2 linked regions of the Nothobranchius furzeri genome follow. The protein of the gene in region 1 purifies or fractionates together with the protein of each later gene. This does not show direct contact. Links are inferred from orthologs where the notes say so. Each region holds a gene or a part of one and is shown on either strand. Other genes may lie near its edges. The genes, in order: gan and nudcd3.

Region 1 (3,821 bases):
AGGACACACTGACGGTGACGGGGTTAGGACACACTGACGGTGACGGGGTTAGGACACACTGACGGTGACGGGGTTAGGACACACTGACGGTGACGGGGTTAGGACACACTGACGGTGACGGGGTTAGGACACACTGACGGTGACGGGGTTAGGACACACTGACGGTGACGGGGTTAGGACACACTGACGGTGACGGGGTTAGGACACACTGACGGTGACGGGGTTAGGACACACTGACGGTGACGGGGTTACGACAAACTGACGGTGACGGGGTTAGGACACACTGACGGTGACGGGGTAAGGACACACTGACGGTGACGGGGTTAGGACACACCGACGGTGACGGGGTTAGGACACACCGATGGTGACGGGGTTAGGACACACCGATGGTGACGGGGTTAGGACACTGATGGTGACGGGGTTAGGACACACTGATGGTGACGGGGTAAGGACACACTGATGGTGACGGGGTTAGGACACACTGATGGTGACGGGGTTAGGACACACTGACGGTGACGGGGTTAGGACACACCGACGGTGACGGGGTTAGGACACACCGACGGTGACGGGGTTAGGACACACCGACGGTGACGGGGTTAGGACACACCGACGGTGACGGGGTTAGGACACACCGACGGTGACGGGGTTAGGACACACCGACGGTGACGGGGTTAGGACACACCGACGGTGACGGGGTTAGGACACACCGACGGTGACGGGGTTAGGACACACAGACGGTGACGGGGTTAGGACACACAGACGGTGACGGGGTTAGGACACACCGACGGTGACGGGGTTAGGACACACCGACGGTGACGGGGTTAGGACACACCGACGGTGACGGGGTTAGGACACACCGACGGTGACGGGGTTAGGACACACCGACGGTGACGGGGTTAGGACACACCGATGGTGACGGGGTTAGGACACACCGATGGTGACGGGGTTAGGACACACCGATGGTGACGGGGTTAGGACACACCGATGGTGACCGGGTTAGGACACACCGATGGTGACCGGGTTAGGACACACCGATGGTGACGGGGTTAGGACACACCGATGGTGACGGGGTTAGGACACACCGATGGTGACGGGGTTAGGACACACTGATGGTGACGGGGTTAGGACACACTGATGGTGACGGGGTTAGGACACACTGATGGTGACGGGGTAAGGACACACTGATGGTGACGGGGTTAGGACACACTGATGGTGACGGGGTTAGGACACACTGATGGTGACGGGGTTAGAACACACTGATGGTGACGGGGTTAGGACACACTGATGGTGACGGGGTTAGGACACACTGATGGTGACGGGGTTAGGACACACTGATGGTGACGGGGTTATTCACACACTGATGGTGACGGGGTTAGGACACACTGATGGTGACGGGGTTATTCACACACTGATGGTGACGGGGTTAGGACACACTGATGGTGACGGGGTTAGGACACACTGATGAACGTAAAAGAAGATTCAATTAAGTCTAAATTTTGTTTTGTTGCCTTTAAACTCGATTCAAGAACTGTTCTTAGTATTTTATTTATCCATTGACTGATTTTATTTAATTCTGGTTATTTATTTTGAGCAAAGAGCAAAGAGCAACATAATCTCTCTCCATCTCTCTAAAGCCACAAAGGAGGCAACAGGAAACGGCAGAATTAGGGGCGATGACGCACTTTACACTAACACCACAGTAGGAAGGAAGTTCTGTTCCAAAAACCGGTCCTTCATCCTCAGATGAACACATGAACACCTGCTGCACATTTTAAAAACGCTAACATCCTGGGATTTTTGTGCATGCAGGAATGTTTCCATGTCTGGAAATGTGGAGGAACTCATGTCAAAATGAAACTAAGTGATCAGCTCTGGGATTGTGACAGCAACCACACACTAGTGTTTCACTTCCTGTTGTGCATCACACGTCTCTACAGACATAAATGGTTGCATGCTGAACTGTGAGTCGTCTTCTTCTGTTACCTCCTCTCCTTCAAAGGGCACAGGCCCGTCCACTGTTGGGTTTTAGGGTCAAAGCATTCGACGGAGTCGAACAGCTTTCCGTAGGAGCCGCCACCGATGGCATAAATCTTCTTGTTCATGGAGGCGTAGCAGCCGACCTGAAGGAGGAAATGAACCGGTAATGCACATCTTACTGGGAAAAACCCGAAGTATGTCTGTTTCGTATTTCTGATTAGACATTAAAACAGACCAGATGAGACCAAGATCTGTTTAAGTTGTTGTATCTGAATCTTAAACAAATAAAAAATGTACTTTAAAGGGACTTTACGGAGTTTTGAATTTTTATGCTCGCGATTGCCCCCTCAGGCCAAAAGCGTAACGGCAGCTTCAATAGTAGGCTCGTGCACGAGGCGCGCATGCTGTACGTGCACACTCCTTAACGAAAATAAAAGCTGAGACAGTCCTGTGTGTGTGTGTGTGTGTGTGTGTGTGTGTGTGTGTGTGTGTGTGTGTGTGTGTGTGTGTGTGTGTGTGTGTCAGAGGACAGGAGAACGAGCAGCTAATTAATTAAATAATTTGGTTCTGTACCTTTCTCTTCAGCACAGCCGACAAAGGTTTAAGATGGGTCAGTCCTCCTGCATGCTCAGACCATTCCCTTCCCTTGCTTGAAAAATTGTTCCAAAATGAAAGTTGAACCCACATCTTTTTTATCTGTGAATTCAATGCCGTTCGGCGCGTCTCAAAAATTTGGGCATCTTACTGCAAAAAAATATACCATTAATGTAAAAAAGAAACTCTAAATAAACTGTGTTCACACCCAGAATCAAACTCTGGTCTTCTGCATGGGAGTCAGACGTCTTACTATGTGAGCTAAAGCACCAGTGACATCCTTTGTATCTGTAACTTTTATATCCTTGATGACAGCTGAAACAACGTCAAACCAAAGAACGGTTCCGAGCGAAAATGGCTATTTTGTTGCTAATTAGCAGGAAATATCTAGAAGAAAGTTCTACAGAAAGTAGCTAAGGGTCCTCAGAAATGTAGCTAGCTTTGTCACTAGGCGTTAGGAACAGCGACAAAGTGGCACTGCCTCTCTCTCTGCTGCTAAAGCTACGGATAGCAAATGCTACGGGCGATGCCTGAGCGTGAACGCGCATGAAGCAGCCTGCTCGACCCGAGCATCTCTCTTTTTCTGTGATTTTACAGAAAAACAGGCAATCACAGTAAAAATGCCAGAGCTCATTCTACAGGACCAGGGCATTGCAGGAGAATGTATGAAGAAGACATTTATTATTTCTATACATGTTTTAGCTGTCAAACTTCCATTATGTCCCTTTAAAATAATGTTTTGAATTTGGGTTTTAAGTTGGATATAGAATGATACACAGACTCAACGGCACCGATCCCTTTATGCATCCTGCTCCAGCTGCAGCTTTTAGCAGGCTGTCCATCCAGAGGACCACAGCTTTAACTTATTGTGACTGATCTTAGGGCCATCTTAACAATACAAGTTTCCTAGGAAACCGGAGACGGGTTCAAAGAATTTAGGTTTTCGTGTTTGTGTATAGAATAGGATGAGGGGAAAAAAGCATTTCAAGTCACACTTGGCAGTTTTTCTTGCTTTAGCACCCCCTAGTGTCCGTTATTAATTCTCTGTGGTCAAACTGAACTTTCTACTTCTCTCCTTGCTGCGCGCTGATCGTTTTAACTCCTTAATCTAACAGCTGAAACGTCTCCCAGCCTTCATTAGTCTTCAGGAGTGATTCATCACTAAATTAAACAAATCAGCTGTGTTCATGATCTAAAACATGCAGGAAACGTGCTGGAAGCAGCCTGCAGCTCCAGTTTTTTCGGAGTCC
Region 2 (4,563 bases), on another chromosome or scaffold:
TAATGTCTGACTGAATGTATCGCAATATGCATTGTATCGTCACCCCTGTATTGTGATATGTATTGAATCGCCGAAATTTCAGCAATACACATCCCTAGAAGACATGGTGTGTGGACTTCTGTAAAAACAGTCATGACGTGGAGTTTGAAGTGGAGACTAAATAATAACATAAATCAGGCAAAGATGATTGATGCAGCTTGATGTGTTTAGAATAAAGTTTACCTTGCAGCATACAGCTGTTACATGGAGGCTTCTGCTTCCTATTGGGCCGCTCAACAAGCTGGACCAAGCAAAGGAACTCTGGAGGGGAAGCAGGTATACAGACCATTTAACGTTTGTAATATGTGCAGAAAAAAAGAGAGAGCATTTTAGAGGCTTGTTAAAAATTTTAAACATGTAGGATCTCTGTTCAAAAACTGAAAATACTCAGACGTCCAGTTCCTTAATCATGAAGGATTTTGCCCACAAATTCCCAGTTATCTTTATTCATTTATTTATTTTTTATTGAAGACTTCAGTCAATCACATATGTAATTTCAATATTGGTTGCATAAAAACAATAACTATGTGACTATGACTAAAATGATTTATGTCACATCACATATCCTATTTTCCAGCCACTATTTCTGTGATGTAAAAATGAGGACGAAATCTATGAATAAATGGAAAAAGTTGTGGAATTTGTTAGTATCTTAAATATCACTGTAAGAACAAAACCGTAATCCTGAGCAATAATTTGAAGATCGAGGATTTATATCTAGTTGTTCCTTTCCACATTTTATGTATATTTTCAAACTCCTTCAGTTAATTTTCTGAAACAAAGCTAGGTGTTCACTAGTTATACCGGTTACTGAAAATACACTAATCTGGTAAACAGAAAATACAGTTTACCAGTAAATTCATGCACAACAGTTAACATTGTCCAGATTAGAGCATTACTATTGTTACGCTGAGTCTAAAGAGACACACAATTCAATATAACAATAATGAACATTCCATTTTTAGATAATTTCCTTACCAGCAGCCTCACGTTCGCTGTGCTAGTCAAGGACGCCGCCATGTTTAACTCGGAGAGGGAAGGTGTTACTATCATTTGTTTATTTTACAGACCAACTATAATTTTTATAGCTATCAAAAAATAAAAATGTAAATATCGTAATGATTTCAGCTTGCTATGTAAATAAAAAAAAGATCTTTCCCCTTAAACGCCGAAAGTTACCTATGTCCGGAATGATTACTGTATACTTGTGTTCTTACCGTACAACAACTGAGCTGTACCAACCGGATATTGTTAATATAAAATATTTTTTAAATATCGTCACAGTCACATTTAGTTGTAAAACACAGAAATGTAAAGCTTTATTTATTTTATTTTAAGCCCTAATGATGCTTAGACATTTAATCATTGTATACGTAACTTGGTTTACAAGAACAGTTTTTTTGTATTTTATAATTAGGAAATATGTTTTAATAATTGTTCAATAACTATTTAAATGTAAATTAGTTTGACTTCCAAACATTTAAAACCCATCTAGGTTTAAAAATATAAATTATCATTGTTATTTATTTTATGTGGGAACTTATTTTGAAAGCACTATACCGGAAAACGGTGAATTGTTCTGGAAAAGGAAACAGTCGCTAAGAAATTTCAGCTGGCACCATTTGTTGTTGTTGTTTTTATTCTGTCTTAAAGTCCCACATTTCAGTTCTGGTCGCTCGCTGTTGATCAGAAGACTTTATAGTTTTTTTTTTTTTTGTAAAGTCTAAAAAAGGTTTAAAGCTACCATGGCGTCACCGCTGCAGATGACTGAGATGTATGACAACGCTCTGCTTGGGATCCTTCAGCACGTTGGGAACGTTCAGGACTTTCTCCAGGTTTATTTCGGATTTTTGTATCGCAAAACAGACTTTTATCGCCTGTTGTCTGGTCCCAGCGACAGGATGGGCTTCCCCCCAGGTGTTGCGGAGAAGATGGTGCTGAAGGTGAGCTATAGTCTGTCAGTATACCATGTTATATTGTTACATGGCAAAAATAATTATTCAGCATTCGTTTAGCATTCTAAAATGTGTTTTTTAATTAAAAGTTAACCAGAATTGTTTTCTAATTAGACAATTAATGTCTAATCTTGTGTTTAACAAAGTTTTGACTCAAACGCATTTAGGTCAAAGGTTATCAGAGAGGTTTTTGCATGGATCACTTATTTGTTACAACATACTATTTTATATTAGCAGTAACATCTACATCTAGCTTTAAATCACATGCGAATAAAACATGTCTGTAAAATCCATCTGAGAACTGGAGGGGAATAAGTGTTCATAATGGCAGACTGGGAGGATAGAGGACAGCAGCACATGACGGTCTGGTTGATGGAGAAGTATCTAAGGACATGATCTGTAAACCCTCACTTTAAAGCTGTGTAAAGCACATGCAGTTATTTTTAGTTTGTCCCTTCCAGGACACCATACCTAAAAAAACGGATAATTTTCAGTTTTCTATATGCTAAGGCTGCATTCACAGTGTTAACTGTGTCATCTGAAACTGTAGTTTTATATATTTTATCAGACTTTTGTTAATAGCTCTTTTAAAATATTCCATACGAAAAGTTAAAAGATGCATCCATCTTTCTATTTTCTACCTTTTATCCAAATAACCATGTATCACGTTCTGGGTCTGTCCAGAATTCTCCTCTCTGTGGGACTTATCTGGAAAACCTCCCAGGAGCCAGTCAGGTACCCACATCACTTTGGCTGACTCGTTTAGGTATGAAGAAGCCCCAGGTCTTTGACTTCCCCCTGGGTGATGGAGATCATTTCCTTATCTCTTAAGGCTGAGCAAATATTGTGACCATAGCTGAGAGTTGGAATATAAACAGACCATTAAATTGAAATATTTTTCTTTTGGCTCAGCAGCTTATTCTTTACCACGACATGCTGACACAGCAGCCATGTCTCAACAGAAAAAGCCCTTAACCGTTGGACCACCTCGTCCTCTGTCCCACCGCCTCTTACAAGCAAGACTCCAGGATGCCTGAGCCTGAGGAAGAGACTCCCTCCCAACCTGGAGGACCTGACTCAATCTGGCTGCTTCACACTCCGCTTTAAACCATCCCAGTGCATGTTTAAGGTCTTTGCATGAAGCCAACACCTACACTACATCCTCTGCAGAAAGCAGAGATGAAATCTTGACGTTCCTAAACTGGACATCCTCTTGTCCATGATGACATTCTGAGGTTCTGTTCATGAACATCCCCAACAGGACTAGCGACGACCAACTCTGAGGCCCCCCAACCAGCATCATGAATGTGCTTTTGACTTGTCGCTGTAGACGGGGACACGGCTCTTGCTTTGGTTGACCTGAAAGCTTGTTCAAGTGACCTCAGCAACCCGTGTGCTACCGCAGCACAGCCCGAGTCTGTATCTCAGGGGTGTCAAATACGCGGCCCGCGGGCTGGATCCGGCCCGCAAGCAGGTTAAATCCGGCCCGCGAGATGGTTGTGTAAACTTTATGTTCATACCTTACAACGGTAGAGTGAACTTGTGAGCAAGTTTTCTCTGTAATGAGTATAAATAAAACAAAGCTGCGCTCAAGGCTCACACAAGAACTTGAATCACATCCTGAAGTTGGCTGCCACTCAGGATGTGACTTCTGATACTGATGTGCTGGTGAAAGCTAAAAGATGTAAAGTAAAATGAGTCAAATATATTTGAAGTGCTGCATGAAACTGATCTAGCCATAGGGCTGGGCGATATGACGATTGTAGACCGTTTTACTATCTACACATCTGACGGTCTGTCATTTTTGAGAGACCGTTTTATCACGATTCACAGCTCTGCTGTTGAATTTCTGCCTCTGAATGAAAAGGGAACTTACCTCAGGCGAATGACACGCCTTTGTTTGACCCTTAACCAATCAGAGTGAGTCATAGTAATATATTAGTGCCCCGCTTGTTTTCATTTGTGTGCGAACAAACATGGCTTCGCCGCGGCTGAGCGACAACGAGGTTTTCGTTCCGAAGAGGAACGCAGGGTTTCCTTAGCGCGCGGCGCTAACAACTTAGTGACGTGACATGTCTCGGAGAAAGCGTAAAAACACGTTGGACGCTTCTTCTGAAGCAGGAAAATAACACCGCTTCTTAAGCAGAGCACGACGTCACCTCGGCTGGTTCACCCTCTGCCGAGCCGGTGTCGGTACCGGACTGAGCTCGGTCACTGGGTCGTTGGAGCTGCCCCGTGACTGGCTGATGGAAAACCAGCGGGTTTCATCAGACTCGTAGTTTCTTGTTTTTGCTGGGGACCCCCTGTATTTTACCGCTCCCTCCTGCAGTCTTCCCCTATTAACATTTAAAATGATTCTGTAAACTCCGTGTATCAATAGAAACGATCTCTGCCTCTGCCAGCTGCAGTAAATGTAGTCTCCAAATAATAAGAGGTGCATTCATCTGTGTATCTCCTTTGATCCACATTAGTGATATTTTCAGCACCAGAATAGTGAAGCAAAGAAAGATTCCTGAGTTTGTTAGTAATTTTATATATTAGGTGCATCTGACCTGTTCTATTTTTCTCT

What was found.
Region 2: the proteins of gan (region 1) and nudcd3 purify together in Homo sapiens (co-immunoprecipitation; 3 studies listed by BioGRID and IntAct, counting the BioPlex papers as one, with this or other methods). This does not show direct contact. The link is inferred for Nothobranchius furzeri from reciprocal best matches to the Homo sapiens genes GAN and NUDCD3.

The regions. Positions count from the first base shown.
Region 1 is NC_091744.1:82,314,339-82,318,159, reverse strand, and holds part of gan (gigaxonin), read right to left. Parts: intron 2,121-3,821; coding exon 1,984-2,120; intron 1-1,983. UniProt on the Homo sapiens protein: Probable cytoskeletal component that directly or indirectly plays an important role in neurofilament architecture.
Region 2 is NC_091746.1:39,650,456-39,655,018, forward strand, and holds the start of nudcd3 (nudC domain-containing protein 3), read left to right. Parts: upstream 1-1,621; 5' UTR 1,622-1,784; coding exon 1,785-1,982; intron 1,983-4,563. Other genes in the region: mrps24 (small ribosomal subunit protein uS3m), read right to left, coding at 223-300, 1,018-1,092.